Linked DNA regions of Bombyx mori. The protein of the gene in region 1 interacts with the protein of each later gene in a pairwise test. Links are inferred from orthologs where the notes say so. Each region holds a gene or a part of one and is shown on either strand. Other genes may lie near its edges.

The links.
Region 2: the proteins of ralBP1-associated Eps domain-containing protein 1 (region 1) and ralA-binding protein 1 interact in binary tests that used the Homo sapiens proteins (3 or more experiments, as listed by UniProt). The link is inferred for Bombyx mori from reciprocal best matches to the Homo sapiens genes REPS1 and RALBP1.

What each region holds. Positions count from the first base shown.
Region 1 is NC_085109.1:4,003,944-4,015,900, reverse strand, and holds the start of ralBP1-associated Eps domain-containing protein 1, read right to left. Parts: upstream 5,355-11,957; 5' UTR 5,128-5,354; coding exon 4,978-5,127; intron 4,894-4,977; coding exon 4,483-4,893; intron 2,586-4,482; coding exon 2,429-2,585; intron 1,879-2,428; coding exon 1,716-1,878; intron 1,636-1,715; coding exon 480-1,635; 3' UTR 1-479. Other genes in the region: glyceraldehyde-3-phosphate dehydrogenase, read right to left, coding at 7,376-8,374; uncharacterized protein LOC101742449, read left to right, coding at 9,987-10,106, 11,061-11,187, 11,552-11,667, 11,758-11,860. UniProt on the Homo sapiens protein: May coordinate the cellular actions of activated EGF receptors and Ral-GTPases.
Region 2 is NC_085113.1:5,997,619-6,009,575, reverse strand, and holds the start of ralA-binding protein 1, read left to right. Parts: upstream 1-4,125; 5' UTR 4,126-4,623; coding exon 4,624-4,708; intron 4,709-4,929; coding exon 4,930-5,068; intron 5,069-6,602; coding exon 6,603-6,801; intron 6,802-6,941; exon of another isoform or gene 6,942-7,917; coding exon of another isoform or gene 7,918-7,947; intron 7,948-9,054; exon of another isoform or gene 9,055-10,173; coding exon of another isoform or gene 10,174-10,263; intron 10,264-11,162; coding exon 11,163-11,379; intron 11,380-11,957. Other genes in the region: golgin subfamily A member 5, read right to left, coding at 389-583, 1,452-1,875. UniProt on the Homo sapiens protein: Multifunctional protein that functions as a downstream effector of RALA and RALB. As a GTPase-activating protein/GAP can inactivate CDC42 and RAC1 by stimulating their GTPase activity.

The DNA.
Region 1 (11,957 bases):
CCCATCGAATCCGTGGAGGCCCCAGACTAGAGCGGTGAAAAGCGCGACTGGTGGACCCACCGACCGCACGTAGGAGGCTCTTGGACTAGAGCGATGGGGATCGCGGTTAGAGACTTAACGGCTGCACGCAGGAGGCTCTTAAACTACAATGGTGGGGCGCGCGGATGGACATCAACCGACCGCCCGGAGGAGGCTCCGTAACTACAGTGGCGGAGTGCGCGGGTAGATATCAACAGACCGCACGGGGGAGGCTCCTCAATAACAGTAATGGGGCATGCGGTTGGACGTCAACCGACCGCACGGGAGGCTCCTCAACTACAGTGGCGGGGTGGGCGGGTGTATATTAACCGACCGCACGGGGGAGGCTCCTCAATTACGGCAGTGGGGCGTGCGGTTGAACATCAACCGGACAGAGGAAGCTACTAAGCGGCGGAGAGCGCTGAAAAACATCCACCGTCTGCACGAAAGAGGCTCTTCGACTAGAGCGGTGGGGAGCGTGGGTGGAGACGCACCCTTAATAGCTCGCGGTCCCTTTGCACGTCCGCCAGCTCGGCAATGAGCGCGCGGCACACGCGGTGCAACACGGCGTTCTGCTCCTGCAGCGCCTTCACATCCGGCTCCGTGTCCGCAGAGGGCTCACGAGAGGCACGCCGGTAAACCTCGAAGGCACCCTGGGAACGCGCCGCGTCCTCCCGATTGTACCCGAACCCCTCGGCTTCGTACTCGGGCGGTACGTCGGCGGGCGGGTCCCTCGGCGGCGGCTGCGGAGGTGCACCCTTGAGACGCGTGAGGTCCAGCGAACTAGAGCGTGCGTGGTTGCGGAGCGGACGCGGCGGCGGCGGTGGTGGCGGTTCTTTGCGTGGCAACGGTTGCAACGAAGCGGGCCCCTCGTCTGCTGCGGCGATAGGTTCGCGAGTCGGAGGAGGGGGCAGAGCTCCCGTCCCTTTCACTGGTTTTCGTGGTTGGGGTCTCTGCACAGGTCGGGTATCGGCGGCGGAAGCGTTTGTTTCGGCAGGACGCTTGGGGCTGGCGAGCTCAAAAGCGAGTGCAACGTCGTCCCGCCGCGGGGAGGCGGAGGCGCGGGAGTCCCCGTCGCCGGCTGAAGCTTCTGGTGTAACCCGCAGCGCGACCGGATGAAAAATTTTCGGATCTCGTTCGACGGCGGCGCGCTGGAAGTCAAAGTTCACTGGTTTCGGACCGGGACTCGAAACGCTGGATGTAGGAGAGTCGACGAACTTCGTCCACTCTTTGTTCGGCTGCGCGTCCGCCTTTGGAGGCGAAGCCGACGGATGGCGCTCCTCAGGCCGGCGACTCGTTTTGGCATCGTACGGATCAGCGCCACTGTCCGATTTCGGTGCGAAATTGAAGTCTGCTGAAGTCCCCGAGCCGAACATCTCGGCGCCGAGGTCAACGAGGTCGGTAGTGACGACGCGTTGTGAGAAGCGCGAATCGACCTTTGGTACGAGCGGTGGGGGTAGCATCTCCGGTACCGGAATATTGTTCCGCCGCAATACAATGAGATGCATGGCTATGCTGAACTCCTCTAATGAAAGCATTCCATCTTTATCGATGTCGGATAGTTGCCAAATTTTTCTTAAATCGGGTACGGGAAGTCTTGATTTCTCGAAAAATAGCCTGTCAAAAACATACAATAATGAATTATTTTAAGTACTTTCACTTTGGGTTTAACTTGTTATTTGTTCATTCGAACGTACCTTGCAGTTTGTCCGGACAGAAGTCCTCGTTCGGGTCGCAATTGTGAGAATTGTGACGCGTAGTGATGCGCCTGCGCCTCACTGATAGACCAGATGTCATTGCAAGTATCTCCCTCGCCATCCTCTTCAGATGAATGACGATCGGACGATTCTTCTTCTGTGCCTTAAAATGTTAAAAAAATATTAAAAACATTACATCAATTTCTAAATCTATATAAGGTATTTTTAGGTATTTTAGTTATTTTGTAAAAAGGGTGACAATCTTGAAAGACTTCTTCATCACCGGCAAAGTGGAAGGAAAGAGGCCTAAGGGGCGTAGTCCCATGCGCTGGTCCGATCAGATTAAGACGACTTTGGAATCCAGCATCAATGTTGCTATACACTGCGCGGAGGACAGAAGTGAATGGAGGAACATAGTCCTAACAAAAGTGCTCAGTAAAGGTCACGACCCTCAGAACTAAGGAATACGACGCACGGAGGAGGGAGGTATTTTACGTCTATCTATATAAAATATAACTAACTAACCAATTAATTTGTACTCAACATGGGACAATATGACAAGGTCAACCCAATAACTATGAAATAAAGTTCAGTTCAGAAGAAACAACACTTTGTTAGTCAAACTTTATTCAACATCTACATTCATTTACACCAAAAATTCATCCGTTCCAGTGTGAAGGGTGTATTATGTATGGTTGTAGAAATCTACTTACCTAAAAGTCTTGTGTGTTCTTCAGCTGTATTTGTAGGCCAAACTCCTCGACCGGTGGCACTATGTTCCCAAACTGGGTGTACTCTTTCGGCAACGCTGTTGGTTGGGGTTGGGCTTTCACTCGCTGTGCTCCAGGGTGACCCAGTTTTCACTCTCCGCTGTTAAGATTTGTCATTTTTCAATTATATTTTCTTCTTTTATTTTAAGTGCAGATCGGCAACCCAGGGTGCATCTGATTAAGCAGTTACAAAAGCTCCCATAGATACTATATTTTGTCTTTGATTGCTGTTACACAATAATGAAGAATAGAGTTTGAGATAGGCTTTTTTTTTCTTTTTTTTATTGCCGTATAGGCAGACGACAGCTATGAGAACCAATGTCTCCATCCTCGAAGAGCTGAAGGTCACCAAGCGCCTGCTGACTATGTGCCAGGAAAGGATCCGGAGTTTCTTTGGGCACATAATGCGATCCTCATTGCACAGCCTGGAGAAACTCACAATTCTCGGACAGATGGAGGGGAAGCGCGCTAGAGGAAGAGCGCCAGCTAGATGGGTTGACCAACTCAAGGAGGTGACTGGAGGCCAGATATGGGGAGCGGTACATATGGCGCAGAACCGGACCGAGTGGAGAAGATTGACATACAGTCACGATCCTCAGCATTGAGGGAACGACCAGAAAGAAGGCAGACGAGCATACGGCCCACCTGATGGTGAGTGGTTACCGCCGCTCATGAACGTCAGCAATGCCAGGGGCAGAGCCAAGCCGCTGCCTACCGTTTAATACTCTCCACAAACCTTGTTTGAAGATGGACATATCATAGCGCTCGGGAAACACTGGTTAAATAGAGTGCTATTGCTACAGAAGGCTAATGAAATTATTTGGAGATAAATGATAATAATAATAAATAACTGGGAACAAATCATGCAATGCTCATCAGGCTCCAAATTAGGATTACCTGTGTTATGGGTACAAGAGACTGACATACACACTTCTATATTTGTTTACATATAAACATATATAGATAATAAAGCCCCATACAAAGAGAAATAACCTGTTCATCACACAAATATTTGCCCAATGTTGGATGGATGTCCTCGGTGCAACAGTCACTGAGACCACTGAGTCAGTCTGTACAAGACCATTTTTATTAAATTTTGAAATACAGAAAGACTGAATTTAGAAGCATTTTTGGTGTGAAATGCATATTCATAAAAATCTTTATTAATAGTAGCTACAGGAGATTGGAGGTAATTTTATCTTCTAATAAGAGAATATCTCATGCATCTATTTTGAAGATTAATAGTAATAATATAATCTTCTGGCAAATACTCAATTCCAATTCACAATAACCAATGCATACATGATAAGGCAAAAGTTAATGCTAATATTACAGATGTTAAATAATTCAGTCACTTATTCTGAAATTCAATATAAGTCCAGAATAATATAAGCTAAAACAGAATTATCTAGTGCTACTGCTTAATATTAGAAAAGCTAGAAGACCAACAATTACTCTAATAATTTACATTACTTTCATTAGGATTTTTAATGACTTTTAGAGACTTGTCATTCTAAATCACTAATTTGCTCTCTGTCACAGACACTATCTTATTCTTTTTAGCATATCTTAGAGTATAAAACACAATATTACTACAAAATTAAAACTCATTCATACACCAACAAAAACAACTAAATATGAAATTATATGTATCTCATTTGTAACAGAATGTATTCGACATATGACAAATGAATCATGCCAATATTTATAAATTAAGTTTGCAGATACAAGTTTGAAAATATTAAAAAACCATTTGGATTTGTAATCAAGTTTTATAACATCCTCTTTTTTTGGTCTTTGTATCAAACTAATAAACTAATAAAGCTGTGGTTTTGTTATTTGCGGCATTTAGTCTATATAGACTTTAAATTTGAATAAGTAATGAAATAAATTTTATTTACCTAGTGTGATGTTTTTCTGTGGACTATTTACTTAATCTTACAATTGATTTAAGATATCCAAGCAAGTATTGAATAAAAAAATTATCCCAAACTTACACCACGCGATCCAGATCTTTGTGACATTGTTTCCGACTCAATTTCAGAATCAGTACTGAGTGCTTCATTCCCATCATGAGACAATGTCTGCGGAACATCACTATCAGACAGATTAGAAGATAGTCTTATTGGTTCATAAGCACTAATATTTCCAACAAAATTTCTTTCACGTTTTGATATGTGATGCTCTTTAGGAGAATTAGATAGCTGTATTAAATCAGAATTAGCTTCTGAGTTAAGTGCCCACGTGAACCTCGGCAGTGGAAGATCAATAGGAGTTGATAAAAGATCAGGTTTAAGTGCTATGTTAGTTTGATGTGCAGCTATTAATTTAAGTGCTGAGTAAAATTGCTTCCTGTTCATATGATTTAATGTTGCACAGTTGTTAGGAGACACGCTTATATCCATGATCTGAAAAATATCAAAGTTATGTACCAATATTATATGTACAACCTGTGTTATCACTTAATGGGTGTAACCTATTCATTTTATTACCTGTTTCAGAATATCATTGGATATGTTCGACGATCTAAATAGTTCTGTTGCTTTTAAAATTGGTATTTTCCCATTAGATTCTTCATCACAACATAAAAACAAATCACCGAAATATCTTGTTTCGGTTTCTGTCAAGTTGAGATCCTCCATTATTTTATTAATTTAACAACTGTACAAACTCCTATAACTTTTATCAATTCCAGGTTAAATGTACAACAAAAGTAATCATTATCTATTGATAAAAACCATATTCCTTAGTAAATAGATGGATTTGTATCTTGCTCATCACAAAATTTACACGAAGCAAACGAAATGTCACTGACAGAACAAAGACAGCTGAAGCGACTTTCGTCCATCATTTGTACGACCACAGACCTAACACAATATTCGATCTGGGTGCTTTAGCAATTTGTTTCAGTCTTTCAGCCCAGTCACGCAATTAAAGTTAGTCAGCCTTGTCAAAGAGTTATGATATTTTTTTATTAAATTATTCTTAATATGACGAAAGCATTGTTGGTGGTCCGGAGGTCTTTCCAGTTTCACCAGGACAGGGTTATGATATTATTATATCGAAACGTACCGTGCATACATGAATCGTCCATTATCAAAGGTGGCAATCTGTGCATTTGGACAAAAACATGTTAATGATATGTCAATACAGATTGATTTGAATATAATCGTCTCCTTCAAAGAATACGGTTCAAAACCTGCATGAAATAAAGGTTAATACTTAACCTGTTATTTATCTAAGATGTCGTTCAGAAGAGTTTTGTGACTGCCAATGGAATACAAAGTCAATAATTCGTTTTTCTGATTTAGCAATAATTGTTCAAAAGTCACATTGCCGGCTTTGATAATAGTCGACTCACATATAGGTACAGCAAGAGAGTTCATGTCCGAACCCATATAATATTCAAGTTATTGTTGAATGCATCTTGCTTTGGCTGGTTCAGACTCGTAGTGTATGACATCAGCTTTCGCAGTAAAAGGTTTTTTGAGATATTCTAAAGAATCCAACCGAATATTCTGTTCAAAATATAATAAAGTTGCGGATTTAAAAATTATACATTGAACCATATTTTCATTATAATCTCTATTTTCACAAGCGTTGATGTTTTAATGAGAAATAATATGTACCTACTTATACAAGGTTCAAACACATAATATGTAGTTGTAAACAAATCGTTACATATTTTTCATTTTCAGTAATATAAATACCGAGAATTCATTCCATTAATCATGTTAGGAGGAAAGTTTGTACACCTATCCTAAAAAATATGTTAGTTCTGAAAATAGCCTAATGTCCAGTGTAGAAGACAATCTTCTTCCCAAATTCGAAACTCAACATTGTTGGTCTTTCTTTTTTATTTAAAATAAAATATAATCGTTGTAGGCAAAGAAGCTTACGGTCAGTGTTAAATGCTTAGCGAATCCCACATCGTAACTAAATATTGTTTAATGGCCTGCCAGAAGCAAGAATTGAAAAAGAAGGAAACTGCGTACATTCTAACAAATTTTCAGATTTCTACCTATAAATACTTTTAATTAACCAAAATTGATTTCCTTCTTTTAGTAGGTAGGTACTCGTCTCTATAATCTTATTTATGTTAATAAGCAACGCTACAATTTAAACGGATAATTTTTGTCTCTGGCTAGTTCTTCATTCCACTAACACAAGTGGTATGCTTTCACCAGTTTAAAAACTTAGTTTTCTGTTAGATACTAGTGGTAAAGCATGCTTCTGTGAAGTTGGAAGTGGATAACACTACCCTACCTTCCTTATATAAAGCAATACAAAATATAATTAGAAGTAATTCCTTTGTCATGAGTCGTTCGTAAAAATCTTAGTTAATTCTTTAAGATGAGTTAATCACTAGATACGAATATACAGGCGTATATCGGTAGGCAGCGGCTTGGCTCTGCCCCTGGCATTGCTGAAGTCCATGGGCAACGGTAACCACTCAACATCAGGTGGGCCGTATGCTCGTCTGCCTACAAGGGCAATAAAAACATATATATATACCACTCGCCGTAACTAATAAGTGAGTCACGTTTAAAAAAATTAATGTTTCACATTCCTGATTTCCATTTTTTCAAATATCTTCCAAAAGAATCATCGCTCATGAGTACATGATATTTAGGATTGTGTAATAAAAAACAATCTTGATTGAATATTTTATTTGCAACTGCATAAGTTATTTTTGTGATTTCGTCAAATACTTGAATATAGCAAACCATTTCTATAAGTATTTTCTAAATAACAAGCAGTGTACTACTATTCAAAGTAGTAAAATAATTTACAAAAAATAATAATAATCTTAACTTATATTTAAGCCGATAGATAATCTCGACGTACATGTTGAAAAATATCCTTACATTCATACATTTGATCAAGAGTTTAATCTTTAGATTGAATGTACTTGATGAGATCAATGACTCTGCTGGAATAACCATATTCATTGTCGTACCAACTGATCAGCTTCACAAAGTTGTCATTCAAAGAAATTCCAGCGGCAGCATCAAAGATTGAAGAGTGTGAATCACCAATGAAGTCTGAGGACACAACTTGATCTTCAGTATACCCGAGAATGCCCTTCAAAGGACCTTCAGCTGCCTCCTTGACCTTTTGCTTGATGGCTTCATAGCTTGCAGGTTTTCCAAGACGAACAGTTAGATCAACAACAGATACATTAGCAACAGGGACGCGGAATGCCATTCCAGTCAGCTTGCCATTAAGAGCAGGGATAACCTTACCCACAGCTTTGGCAGCACCAGTAGAGGCAGGAATGATGTTTTGTTGAGCACCACGGCCATCACGCCATAATTTTCCAGAAGGTCCATCAACAGTTTTCTGTGTAGCAGTTGTGGCATGAACAGTAGTCATCAAGCCCTCAACAATTTCAAAGTTATCATGAATAACCTTTGCAAGTGGGGCAAGACAGTTTGTGGTGCAAGAAGCATTTGAGATGACCTTAAAAGAGGGGTCATAAGCTTCTAGGTTAACACCCACAACAAACATGGGGGCATCAGCACTGGGAGCTGATATAATAACTTTTTTAGCACCTCCCTCCAAGTGAGCAGATGCTTTATCTGTAGTGGTAAAGACACCAGTAGACTCTACAACATATTCAGCCCCAGCTTTTCCCCATGGAATGGCCTTAGGGTCCCTTTCTGAGAAAACGGCAATTTTGTTACCGTTAACAACAAGGAATCCATCCTGAACCTCAACACTGCCCTTAAAACGGCCATGGGTGGAATCATACTTGAAAAGATAAACCATATAGTCAAGACCGATGAAAGGGTCATTTATAGCGACCACTTGAGCTCCCTTTTCAATAGAAGCACGGAGCACCAAACGGCCAATGCGGCCAAATCCATTGATTCCAATTTTTGACATGTTATCTGCAATGAAAATAAAGACAAATTAAAACTAGATTTAGTTAGAATCAATTTACTTTTCTTTATATATAATTGTAGTATTTTTAAAACATTTTATGAAATTTTTTGTTACTTATAAATTAAAAAAGTAATACATAGGTTAGTTAGTACCTACTACAGTTTCAGATTCTAAATTAATCTGTAAATTTTAAATCTGTAGGAAAATTGTACATGAAACAGAAAAAAGATATTTAAAAAAAAATAGAGGACCAAAAATGTGTTGTGATAATTATAAATGATACATTTAGTATATTACAGTAATTTATTAAAATAGTTTACTATATTTGTTTATTTTTCAGCGAAATTGTTAAGTTTCATGGGATATTATTTTCTTATATAATAAACTTTATTCCTATAATACGCGATAGATGAATTTTTTGTTACTAAATCTCATATGATATAGCTTTTTTGAAGAAATACCCAATTTATTGATGAGCGTACCGGCGCGTGGAGGTCACGTAGAGGTCACACAAAAATTTAACAAATACCTTAATCACAAGATTCTGTAGTTACTATTTAAGCATGTAGATTTTATTGGGATCAATAACTTTTATGACTTATGCTTTTTTTCAGTTAAAGTTTTTTAATACGAAAATGGATCGTGAAATTGTTACGTGGTCGCAGCGACCTGGTATCAAAGTAAAACAGATAATAAAGTAGTTACTAGTTATAATGCATAAAAAATTTTGAAAATTAACCTTGACAAACATGATAAAATAAACTTACCGGCAAGTTATAGAAAATTTGTTGAATAACTGACCACCACCACGTACGCTCAGTACAAGATGGAGTTTTAAAATGTCAGATGAAGGACAAATTCCGACAAATTCACAAAATCTGTCAAGTTGGAATTTTCATAGAGAAGGGCCAGACGCAACCATAAAATCGCTTTGGTTTTGGTATAGATAATACAAATATACACTATTTACGAAAAGTTTAGTACTATATAGTATTTACATAAACTTGTTTTGAGTACACCAAAACATGAAAACAAGGTGTCAATTTGAATTTACATGCCGATGGAGATATAATAAGCACAATTTACCTGCAGTCAAACTGCGTAAGCAGTTTTGCAGGGCATGTATTGAATGTAAGTGTAACTTTTTATGAATAAATATATTACATACATACATACAAATTTTAAAAGAGGGTAAACCTACGTCATTTATATATCGAGTTAAAAGAAAAAACACAATATTTCGAATATTGGACGGCATAGATTCATAATAATTTTGATGTAATACCAGATTTTGTGGATTACGATGAAATTCATATGAAACTAATTGGAAATTATTTAAGTAGATCCTTTTCAGTGAAAATAATTTTCCAATTCATTTCATTAACATCTTAGTTCTGAGGTACCTAACCAATATAAAAAAATATAACTGAATTGAGAATTTCATTCATTCTTTAATGTGGTAGTTGCACGGGTATGTACCTACTATTATAATATTTAGTAAATTTAAGTCAAATAGTTTTTATTGTATGCCATAGATTATACAAACGCTAAGACACGACATGTAAGCCCGATGTAAACAAGATGAACTTAATCTTACCCTAATAGAATACCTATGTATATATTTCGGATCATTTTTACTAAATTTGTCATGGTAACCAAATTAGGTATAAATGGATTCGGCCGAATTGGCAGAATTATTTTTAGAACATGTCTCCTACACAACGAGCTAGAGGTTTGTACAATTAACATAGTTAGATTCTTACTGACGGAATGGAAGTTATGAACTGCATTCTAAATGAAGGAAACTGGTAATATGTTAGAAATCAGCCTTTATGGGTAAAATTGTAAAATATAGTGAAAACTGACTATAAAATGGTAGGTTCTGAATAAGCATTCCAATTGGATTATCGTGGCCGTATATAACTATATCTCGATTCAGATGACAGGGACAATGGAACGCCCGATTAAGTTTCAGAGCTTTTTGGCACTCAAAGCACCGGTCACCGATATCGGCGAACTCGTCTATGCGACGAAAAGCTCAACGTGCAACCTAACCCATAGAAAAACAGAGCCCATTGAGTATCTCGGCGGATCAGTGGGTCACAGTTCCGATCTGGTGATAGATTTAGCGAAGCACTGTTTTTGCTAGGACTAGTATTAGCAATTTCTCTCAGACTGAGCCATATAAGCTCGCCTACAGAACCGGCAAAGCTCGAATATCCCCTTGATACTACAATCTACAATACCTTGCGAGCCTTATAAAGGTCAATGCTAGCTAATATCCGGTTTTCAGTTCATAAATTTTAATAAAATTAAATCCTAAATTCGTTTATCTGTTATTTTATTTATTACTAGCTGACCCGGCAGACTTCGTAGTGCCTCAATCTATAAATAAATACCTAAGCTTTTGTATAAAATAAACTTAAAACAAACAAAAGGAATCCATCCGACGGGGGACACATCAAAGGGAAAACAAAATTGTTATTTTTATTTAATTCCGAGAATTTTCATATTTATCTACGTTTTAAACCTTCTCTGGACTTTGACAAATAATTCAAGACCAAAATTAGCCAAATCGGTCAAGCCGTTTTCATGTTATGTCGTGACAACGGAAAACGGGTTTCATTTTTATATATATAGATTGGATATATAACTAGAAATGTTGATTTATTAATTCCTCTTCAAGGTAGCAGCTATAAACGACCCAGCAATCGATGCAGAATACATTTGCTACTTGATAAAATTCGACTCCACACATGGAAAGTTTTCGGGAACGGTCACGCGAAATGATGATAACGAAATAATTGTGGACGGTTCGTTAATAGTTTCGTCATTTTATTAAATAAATACGATTTTATATACTGAAGTTGTTTACTAGTTTCTTTTTATCGCGGTATTTATCGCACTCCATAAGTACGATGACCTTTTGGGTGTGTCCGCAGATCTAAATGTTACATAAATCTCGGTATCTATCAAATACATTCAGAAACAACACTTGAATTCGTACCACGTGTAACTGATAATGCTATGCTAAGTTGGCTTGTATGAGAAATTTGAAATTATTACATTAACCACCTTGAGACATGAAGTGGCCTCATCTACTTGTGTCAAGATTTAATGTAATGCGATTCAACATCTTATTTGGATTTATCTGCAGAATAAATGCATTTCTTCCAGGTCGTCCCATAAAAATATTCCGCGAGAAACTGCCGTCCAGTATACCATGGCAATCTGCTGGCGTTCAATATGTTATCGAATCTTCTGGAATGTTTACTTCACTGGAAAAGGCTTCGGTTAGACACTTCAAAAATAAACGTTACAAAAAAGTAACCACAAGCGTTACTAGGCTGTCGTTTTGTTTTAACATAAGTTCTATCCACCAGGGTCATCTCCGAAGCGTTAGAGTCAAACGTGTGATTGTAACTGCACCAAGCGTCGACGTACCAATGTTGATTTTGGGCGTCAATGATGGTGAAATATGTTCAGGTGACTGCTTTACTATGAATTGTAGGGTCGTTGGCTTAATAGTTGCGACGTTTGCTGTATTCGCAACGATAGGTATGTGACTATGTCGAAGGACAAA
Region 2 (11,957 bases), on another chromosome or scaffold:
AAGACAGGTTTTAATTTACGAGTATATGGATAAGAACGACATATGGCATATGTCACCAGAATTAATAAATTTCACAACCAGTCTTCAAAACTATAACATATCACTTAATTATGCTATTCTACAAACAATAATTAGTAATACTGTATATCAATTTATAAAAGAATATTGAGAAATAAGCATATTTATTTCACAAACAAATCAATTTCATAAATTTATTATAAATTAAAGTTACAGAATTCACCAATTTAAGACTTGTAAGTCTCTATAATTCAAATAATTGACTACAAAGCATACATACACAATTTCCAATCAATGCAAAAAAAAATTAATTATTCCACACTTTGTAGAACATAAAACAATTAATATGAAGCTGTTTAAATTGAAATACCTGCATGACCATTAGCTACTTTCTCTACTTTATTACCATCCTGTGTTTTGCGGAGTTTCTCAAGCAAATCTGCGACTTCTCTATTCAACACATTGAGTTCATTTTTCAACATCACATTTTCAACTTCCAAATTTTGCATTCTGTACGTCCATTCTTCATCACTTACTATTTCTAGGTCAACTGGCAAACTATGTCCTGAGGACAATGTTTTAATTGGGTTTATAGTTTATCAAAAGGAAATAATGATAATATTGCAGGTATACTATCTTGATTTAGCTCAATACTAAATGAATACATTATATGCATTGTGTACATATAGTAAGAAGCAGAGACCATGACTTCTTCATGACTTTTCAACCAAATTCTTTAAGTCATTAATGTTTCATTTATTGTGAAGGCCTATTATGTATTTTTCTAACACGTATGGAGCTTATGACTTATGCTGATTTAAAAAATATTAAACAGCAAATATGAAACAGTTAATCAATATTTTTAAACACTAAGAAACAAGAAAATAATACTTTGTCTAATTAACATGGACAAATGCTATTAATTCTAGTCTTGATGGGATTAATAAAGTAGCTTCCTATATCAATTTTTGCCTGATTTTAATGCACAACCATTCTTAAGCAAAACACTGCTGGTTCAATTTAGACCACCAGTCTACCAAGCAATATCACCCACTCTGTGGAAGATCATCCATTGTTTACTGGTGGTAGAACTTCTTGTGTCCGCAAGTGTAGGTACCACCACCCTGCCTATTTCTGCCAAGAAGCAGTAATGCATTTTGGTTTGAAGGTCAGGGCAGCCATTGTACCATTAAAAGTGTGAGACCTTAGAACTCATGTTTCAAGGTGGGTGGCAGCATTTACATTGTAGATGTCTATGGGCTCCTGTAATCACTTAGCACCAGGTGGACCGTGAGCTCGTCCACCAACCTAACCTATAAAAAAATTAAAAATAAGAAAAAAATTTTATTTATTTATTTTATTGTCACCAGCATCTCCAACTATTTTTAATTGCAGAAACTTGCAACCAACGTTAACAAATTTAAAATACTTACTTCTTTGCCTCAAACCAAAATGGTCAGTATTGCTACCTTTAGTATCACAGACTAATGTATCAGGACAGTTGTCCAAGGTATACTGGTTAGATTTTTTTAAGGGTTTCTTCGTTTTTACAACTCCATTTCTTACTGGCTCTTGATTGCCTTTTACAGGAGATTTATTCAAATTCTGTATAGGAGAAATCTTTCGAGCAGGAGTGTAATTTGAACGTGGCTCGGGAACGGGTGAAATTTTCTTTAAATTTCGTGGTATTGGCCTTTTTCTTTGGTTCCAGGAAGGGTCTGGATGTAAGATAAAATCGGAGTTTTCTTGTTTACGTGCCTTCACAACATTGTGATTGCGTAGGGCTGCTCCTGTTTGCTCGTCTAAATTATTAAGAAGTGTCTCAGCTTTTCCAGCTAAGTCCGCAAACCAAGCCATTTTAATTTATTTTTTGAAAGCCTGAAAATTTTTCTGCACAGTAAATTATTAATAATCTTAATTCGAAGCGATGATTACATAATTATTATATTTTTAATTACAAAACAGAGACTGATCGAGATTTATGTACCCAAATTTTGCGCAGTTTTACACGTCTCGTTTTTAGTGATAATTTATGAAGAACATAAACAGTCATGACGATCACAACTGTAGTGTGTTTAATAAGTAAATTTTGTATTGTTTATAAAATCCATAATACTGTTTAAGTAAGCTGTGTTAAAATTAAATTTTATCAGAAAACAATTTAGAGCATTATTTAGACACGTAAAACTTAATGTCAATTTGATCTTTTCGTTTTTTCGCACATGAGAGCAAAGGTAACTTGCCCAATCGCATCAATTGCAACACGCATCAATTGCATGTGAATACTAGCTTTTGCCCGCGACTTCGTTAGCGTGGAGTAGTTACTTTGGCATAACGCTAAATTATACCCACCTCTTCATTTAAGTAGAAAGTGAAAATATTTTTGAATAATAGAAAATGTTAAAGAGCTATTTAAAGTACCAAAATCACGCTTTTTAACCGACTTCAAACGAGGAAGTTATCAATTCGACCATAATTTTTTATCTATGTATGTTCACCGATTTCTCGAGAATGCTTGAACCAATTCTGATAATTCTTTTTTCTTTTTTTGTTCGAAAGGGTATACTTCCCGAATGGTCCTGTATTCATCAAGATTTAATGATAGGATCCTGGAAAAATCTAGAAAAATCTATAATTGTCAAAGCCTATCTTGAAGTGATTTGGGTGTTTCAATGTTGTAATGAATAACATATTTGTTTGGATAGGGATTAATATAATCTTTATAAAAACACCTTCACAAATAATGCTTTATTTTAGAAGAAACTTGATTAGCATAAAAAACGTAATAGTGAGCCAACCTTTAAATATACACATATGCTGTTACGGAATTTTTTTTTAACTTTTAAAAGAGAACACTTTTGTCATACATTATTTTAGCGTAACTTTAACCATTTCCGCAGCGCATGCAGCAGAACCTCTCAAAAGGGAAAATACCACGATTTAGAAGCATTCTTTATTGCTGCTCCGCTTGCATTGGTCTTAGCGTGATGTTATATAGCCTATAGCCTTCCTCGATTAATGAGCTATCTGACACGGGTTTTTTTTTTTTTTTTTTTTGTTGCTTAGATGTGTGGACGAGCTCACAGCCCACCTGGTGTTAAGTGGTTACTGGAGCCCATAGACATCTACAACGTAAATGCGCCACACACCTTGAGATATAGTTCTAAGGTCTCAGTATAGTCACAACGGCTGCCCCACCCTTTAAACCGAAACGCATTACTGCTTCACGGCAGAAATAGGCGGGGCGGTGGTTACTTACCCGTGCGGACTCACAAGAGGTCCTACCACCAGTAATTACGCAAATTATAATTTTGCGGGTTTGATTTTTATTGCACGATGTTATTCCTTCACCGTGGAAGTCAATCGTGAACATTTGTTGAGTACGTATTTCATTAGAAAAATTTGTACCCGCCAGCGAGATTCGAACACCAGTGCATCGCTCGATACGAATGCACTGGACGTCTTATCCTTTAGGCCACGACGACTTCATAAAAAATTTCTCGCCGGATCTTCTCAGTGGGTCGCGTTTCCGATCCGGTGGTAGATTCTGCGATGCACGGCTCTTGCTAGGGTTCGTGTTAGCAACGTCGTCAGGTTTGAGCCCCGTAAGCTCATCTGCTAGTTAAGGTTACGCCGATATAGCCTCTCAAGGCTCTCAGCTTAGGTAGGAAAAAAAAGATCGATTTATTCGACACTCGTAACTATTTGATAAGATTATAAGGATAAATTCTAAGACGGAAGTTAAAATATTATTTTACGCTGCTCTGTTAAGTTTGTTACCGAAAATACCATTGTTCAAACATTTTATCAGGTATGTTTAGGTACAGTGCATGGATAATACACTGAATATTTAATATTTACATTATTTTATTTAAGACGGGTTAATTTTTATATAACTTACTTTCTCTCTGTTTAAAAAACCTGAAAAGTTCTAAGAAGATAATATTATTTTAATGGTTACATTACTTCCTTGAGACTGTGTGGGCTACGTTCCCTTTACCTGTCGAACTGAACAAAATAAACGAAAATATTTATTTTTTTTAAGAGATTTTATGACCTGGTAACTAAGACCTTTAAGTCATGTCTTATTTTACTTTATTTTCTTAATTTTATGAAAAATGATAATATGGAGTGAAATGAAATGAAGATGATTAATTTGAGACATTAATCAACTGGGATGAAATTTAATGAAATGAGATGATATGGGATGAAATATAATCGCAGTAAAATGGTGGTCATTTACTGAGATTTTTTCAGTGGACTTTTTGGAGGAACCCGAGAAGTTACGTCCAGCAGCTTTGTTTCATTTTCCCACATTTGTGCACTTTCACAGATATTAAACAGTTAATAAACCACCATTATTACACATTTAAACCTGAAGAAACACTAAATAGACAAAATAAAACAAATCACACAACTTCACTCCTCGCGTTCCCGCCAAAAAGTCCAACGAAATTATGTGTTTGTTTGTGTAGTGCATAGATTATACACATAAGTGTAGTGTATTATATATTGGTATTTTGTAATAATTTATAAAAATATAATAATAAACGAAAATATGTACAAATAAACGACTTATTAAAACAAAGTGACATACCAATAAAAATGGATTTTGAAAGTCCAGATGTTGAAAAGGATTTCCCCGGTTTATACGCTTCAGAAAGTGGACGTAAAAGCAATGAAAGTGACTGTAAGTATTATCTGTTTTTGTACACAATTTACCCAAAATTGTGAAGCACAAATCCCTACTATTACGAAGTTTTTAAACTAAATCAAATGAAAAGGATATTTTTACAATAACAAGGTAAAAATCTTTAACTCAATAACATAAGTGTCTATTTCTTTTAGTCGGTTTTATTAAATTGCGAATAATCGAAACTTGTTGATACATATTTATTTTTTAAATTATAGTTAGCGATGGTGCAGAACACGAAAAACCAAGTAAGAAAGACTTGCTAGGACGCAGGAAAGAGAAGAAAGAATCTAAAAAAGATAGAGGTTATGCAGCACTGGAAGGAGAGAGTTCACCTGAAGAAGACACTGATACTAAGTTAGTGCATTAGAAATGTAACTTAAAATTCAATTTTCACACTCAGTTGTGAAGTCCTGGTTTCAAACAAATGAAACACATTAGAATAATATGAACAGCTTCGAGAATCTAATGACAAAATGCCAGTGCATACCTTGTTACTAATGCTGCCAAATTCCTTATCCTTCCTTATCTATATACTCCAGTAGTTCCCGAGTAATATACTTTTTAAGATTAGATTGATTTTATGAGTAAATGTGTGCAGCAATATCTTGTAGTGTCTAAAAAGTTAAATAGTCAACAGGTGGGCTGTGATAATATGATTTGTTTAAATCTGTAGAAAATAAAAAAGTCAATGTTTGACTGTGCTTCATCGTCTTTGTAGGAGAATCCTTTTTTTTTTTTGCTTAGGTGTACGGACGATCTCACAGCCCACCTGGTGTTAAGTGGTTACTGGAACCCATAGACATTTACAACGTAAATGCGCCACCGACCTTGAGATATAAGTTCTTAGATCTCAGTATAGTTACAACGGCTGCCCTACCCTTCAAACCGAAACCCATTACTGCTTCACGGCAGAAATAGGCAGGGCGGTGGTACCTACCCGTGCGGGCTCACAAGAGGTCCTACCACCAGTAATATAATTCTCGCATAATGCACTTGTATGACCACATATAACATGTTATGTACAAATTTAATATACATAGAAATACAATACAATATAACCAATGTTTTTACAATTCTAAAACTAGGAACACAAATTTAATAAACAAATTATACTTTATTTTGTAACAACACAATTGACACACTTATTACAGGTGGTAGAACCTCTTGTGAGTTTGCACGGATAGGTACCACCGCCCTGGTTATATCTGCTGCTAAGCAGTAATGCACATAACACCAGGTGGGCTTTGAGCTTGTCTACATTTCTATGCAATAAAAAAAAAGGGCAATGGTACTTGAAATTAATTATGATGTAATGAATCATATGATAATGTAGAGTAAATATTATAATGTACAAATCATTATAAATTTCACAGGACTGAAATATAATATGTGAAATCCCCAGGTTATATGCTGGAATACCCGTGTTATAAGAGAGACTGAAATCACCTATTTTAAGAGTATGTGTTATAAGGGGATTACTGTATTATGACATAAATTATTGACTATGGTAAAAATAGTCACGAATACACATATACATGCATAACAAACTGTAGTAAAATACTTAATTAAAGTCTTCTTATGACATCAATGACCTGATTGCTAGGCCTGGTCAGTCATACTCCATACTTTATGTCTAATTATCATCTTTTAATAAATTGTTGATGGAAAGGCCCCCTGAGTTGCACAATATATTGACAGACCTTGGAAAGCCACATCATTTTCATTACCACAGGCTCCATTAACCAGTCAACAAGATATGGGACGTCAACTTGAATAACTATTTATATTAACCATAAAATTGTTAATAATATAACAATAACAGAGCATTTGTTCTGTATATATATTCTGCGTGAGTATTTATGATAATAATATCTATTTAATCCAACAGAAGTCCATCGAAATCTAAGAAGACAAAGTCATTCAAGTTCCCAACCAAAAGCAAAGAAAAGCGTGAAAAATCCCGAGATAAAGAAAAAGTTTTAGAAGAAACAGTTAAACATAAAGAAGTAACAGAAAAAGATAAGAAAAAAGAAAAGGAAAGGGAGAAAGAGAAGAAGGAAAAGGAGAAAAAGAAAGAAAAAGATAAGGTAATAATATAAATTTTAATGCGTAACAATATGGTTTTAATACACGGTAATAATGCTGTTTGACCCTTCCAACCATGACTTGACCATCTTGACAACTTCCAGAAACTAACTAACTTTCTATAAGCATAACATGACTGTCAAACGTTAGTTGACATGGACCACTCATGGCTAATTTAATTGTGAGTAATCACCCTGGCTCATTGGCGTTCTACTGAGGACCCTCGTCAACCATAAAGAAGGACATGTTGTCAGTATTAGAAGAAAACTTAGTGAATATTCATACCGAAAAATAAAGTGAAAAAGACATGAATAGCTCAGTTATTTATATTTTTATTCCAATCTATTTAAGATACAGTAGTAGTGCAGGTTAATGATATCAGTAGATATTATCCACGCTACTGATTTACAGCCATTGCATCAAACAGAATAGACCTTGATGGCACAAACAGAAATTTCCCTGAATTGCCAATGATCGTATTATGTTTCAACTCACATAGACTAATGTTTGTGAACGCATAAAAATAAAATTTTAATATTAAGTCTCTTTAATTTGCCAAGAAGCCCACCTTATGCGTAGTTTTTAGCATCCCATATTGACTTATCAACACCAGGTACACAGGCAAACCGCTGACCTTCGAATTCAGTCTTGACTTTAAACTAGTCTTCAATCTGCACAAAATGGCTAAATAATATCCTTTATATTTGCAACATGCATCGAAATACCGTGACTCATTACTCTAAAATAATTCGTTACCACCTTATTGCCAAAAGGGATAATAAACTCATAATTATCCGACTTTAAAAAAAAATATGTATATTTATTTGTACAATATGAAATGACTTTATATTGAGAGTACCATTCACTTTATTTGTTATTCAAATATTCAATCTTATTTACTCAATACTAAATGTTTCATTTTCGCGCTTCAGCGCTTGATACCTTTTTGCATAATTTTGCGGTTGCCTTTATACGCTGGCCAATTTGCGTTGACACTTGGTTAGCGAGACCGTCATTAGTACACGTGGGTCTATGAAAATTATAAAGGTTGTAGGTGTTCGGCCTTGGATGGATGTGGTCGTGTCATGGTTTATTCAGTTGTATCTTGAAATCGCGTCATGCATCACCTACGTAGCGTGTTTACGAAGGTACAAAATCGATTGTTAAACAAACTTTTGTGTGTTACGCGGAAATTTTATTAATGTTTTATTTACTTCATGTTTTTAATATTCTAATAAAGATATCGAAATTAGTGCTACATAAAATGAATAAAAATGAAAACGTAAACAGACAGTAAAATGAATTTATAAATCAACTGTCGGTGCATTTATTGAAAAATATTAAAGTCCGTCATTGGTGTTTGAAAGTGAAATATGTGTAGTACTTACCTACTTAAAAACTTAACTTGATAAGTTAAATTTAATTAATATCAGTGTTAAAAATATTGCACAGTTAATTAAATCAAATCAAAAAAAATCAAAAAAAAATTTATTCAACATAAATGAAAGTACATACTTGTTGAACGTCAAATATCGGTAATGTTTTCGAAAAGACATTTGTGTCCTAGAACAATATCCGCGGAAAATTTGTGTAGTTACCTGCATTTTATTTTATCGTAACACAAGATTATCAGTGAACAAACAAGTTTTAAACAAACAAGATATATATTTAGTCTAATGTCCGGTGTTTTAATGTATGTCATCATAATGTGACTTCAGAATTTTGTTTGCAATAACAAATAATATTTCGCAATTATTTCGTAAAGCTACGCTCACTCAAGTAAAATGAAAATCAATTCTGGTTGTTGTTTATTGAATTATTGTTTACTGGTGGTAGGACCTCTTGTGAGTCCGCACGGGTAGGTACCACCGCCCCGCCTATTTCTGCCGTGAAGCAGTAATGCGTTTCGGTTTGAAGGGTGGGGCAGCCGTTGTGACTATACTGAGACCTTAAAACTATATCTCAAGGTGTGTGGCGCATTTACGTTGTAGGTGTCTATGGGCTCCAGTAACCACTTAACACCAGGTGGGCTGTGAGCTCGTCCACACATCTAAGCAATAAAAAAAAAAAAAAAAAAAAAAAATTAAATTAAAAAAAATAACAAGTAGAAAACCAAAACCGAAAGAAATGCATTTGTTTGATATATGTACAGACGACTGCACAAGTACATGGACACCACCTTAAGGTCTATATTCGCTTGAACACGCCGTTTCTCTTTTTCCGTTTTGGTTTGAATCTGTCCGTGCACCTTTGCTGGGTATAGTACATAATATGTGTTCGTGTTTCCATTTTGGCGAAATTGCAAATATCTTTCAAACTAATATATCATCTACTGACGACTCCCAACAGGCTCCAAACGGCGTCTTTGTTAATATTATATGTACGTCAGTTTGAGATGATCCCCTCATCTCCTTTTTATCATCGCACATCCCGCCATCGGAGCAGAGTTCATCCATATCATCTGGAACCGCTGCGTTCATCGACAGTGCGTTTCCAGAGGTATTTTTTGCCACGTACCACCCGGCTATGGAATGAGCTCCCCTCCACGGTGTTTCCTGAGCGCTATGACATGTCCTTCTGTAAAAGAGGCTTGTGGAGAGTATTAAGCGGTAGGCAGCGGCTTGGCTCTACGCCTGGCATTGCTGAAGTCCATGGGCGACGGTAACCACTCACCATCAGGTGGGCCGTATGCTCGTCTGCCTACAAGGGCAATAAAATAAAATAAAATAAAAACGTTAGGTCCACATTACCAGAGTTGACTTTCAGTGAAATCGAATGGCTTAACGATACGGGTCTCGTCTCGAATCCGCGATCTCGCGATCGATTGGAACGCAAAATGCAATTGAGTCGCGTGTGCGTTTAAATATAGGCCGTCGACAACCCAATCCAGTAACAGACCAAGTTATTTATTTTAGGTGAGATTTGAGTATGTCAGAACCAGATGTTAATCCAGACCAAACTAGGTCACCTATTTAACGTTTATATGATTATGTACTATTTAGTTGAACGTAAAACGCATATATGTGAAGACTATCGCGGCTTAGATAAATGAGCTAAACCTTGATTGAAGAATTTCTTTTATCTCGCCTTGTATCTTGTATGCGTTGCACATATTTATCTGTTTGTTGTTTACAGTTTACAAAACGTCGTATCTATACAAACATACAAATCGACGCTTGAAATGCAAACGTGACTAAGCGACAATAGCTGCTTTGTACATAAATGATAGGCAATAACCATATTCGATGCGCAAAAAAATATATATTTCTAGGTCTATTAAAATCATTTCAATCCTACAGCTAGATTATAGCCTACAGCTAAGTATATTTTAAATTGATTTCAACTTTAAATTAGTCTACTGTAAAGTTCACGCAATGCCGCTTAGTCACGTTTGCCTTTCAAGCGTCGATATGTATGTAAATATAGTTGTAATCTTCGAAGTGTGTTTAATATCTTTACGCACGGTACGTAGAAAACTGAAAATACATTAATTTCACCTTACTGTTTCGTGAAGTATATAATAACTATGATCTTAATACCTAAAGTAGTTAGTACACAAATCAAATATTGACATCTCCCGTTCTGTGGTATTTTCCTCCCAAAGTTTTATGAACGACTAGCGGACCGCTCCGGCTCCGCTCGGATTTTTAACAAAAATTTCAACGGTATTTGACGTTTTATTTTTTTTATAAAAGAACACCTATTGCGGCATAACTATAATAGTCAGACATATGTTTTTCGCGACACATTTTGTAAATAATAATGTGTTCTACAAAGTCGTAGTTACATTATTTTATTCTATCATCAATAGTGTTCGCAGGGCATGCGATGTAAAGAATATTTTAAGTAATTTTTTTACACCTTGGGTTACATTATTGGAGTTTTAGTAAGGATCCCTATTTTTTTTCAAAAAAGATTATAGCCTATGTCACTCGGGAATAGTGTAGCTTCGAAACAGTGAAAGAATTTTTCAAATCGGTTCAGTAATTTCGGAGCCTATTCAATACAAACAAACAAACAAATATTAGTATAGATACTTTATATTATCACGAGGACTAGCTTGGAATAGACTATCCCTAGTTTATGGTCTTGTTTTTTTTATTTATAACTTAATTAATAATAAAAAGTGGTAGGTTAAATAAAGACGAATCAATACAATACAACTGAAGTAACAGATATTATCTTCGCTTGCATGTTCGCAGCGGCATCAATTAAATGAAATTAATAGCGAAAGTAGAACCATAATATATGCGTATAGCTTTATTTCATACGTACCAACAATGAAGAATAAATCTTCAAACATTTGTTAGTAACAATCGCGACACGAAAGAGACATACAAAGAGAAATGATTTAATTTTCCAGGAAAAAGAAGAGAAGGCCAAATTCAAATTTGAATCTAGAGAAAAACTTAAGGACGAGAAAAAAGAAAAGGTAAAGGACAAAGATAAGGAAAAGTCCAAAGAGAAAGAGAAAGAAAAGGTGAAGGAAAAAGACAAAGATAAAAAAGACAAGAAATTGACGAAAATACAGTCAACGGTGACATCAGGTGTTCCTTTTGAAGAAATTTTCACATTGGGAGGTAGGAACCTTTTTGTTCTAAACTAAATGTGAAAGTGTGTTTGTGTATTTGTTTGTCCTTCTTTCACGTTGAATAATGGAATGACATGTCTTTTTTTAAGCGAGTTTATTTGTGAGACTTATGAGAGTACCATATACTAACTATTCTTTATTCCGAAAAGCATTAATTCCCACGGTAAACTACTCTAACATTTTCATTTAACGAAGGTTAGGTGGTAACAACTAGTAAATAATATTTTCACCTCAGCGGCTCAAACATACCGCTTTTGCTTCGAGACAAAAGTGAACAAAACGCGATTTTGTTTCGAGCGTGGGTCAAAGTAGCTCTTTAATTTTTCAATCTTTAGTGCCACGAATTGACATTGTTCAACCATGAATTTCAAACATTTGAATTTTACTGTGCTCTGTCTCTGTCACATGCATATAAAAAAGCGAGTGAAAAAACAAACCCCTTCGAAATTCAATTTTGGAATTCGACCACAAAAAAAACACGTTCGGAAACGCGTAATACCCTATATTTGTAATCTTCGATCAACAATAGTAACTAGATAAAGGGATACGTACAAAATTAAAGCAAAA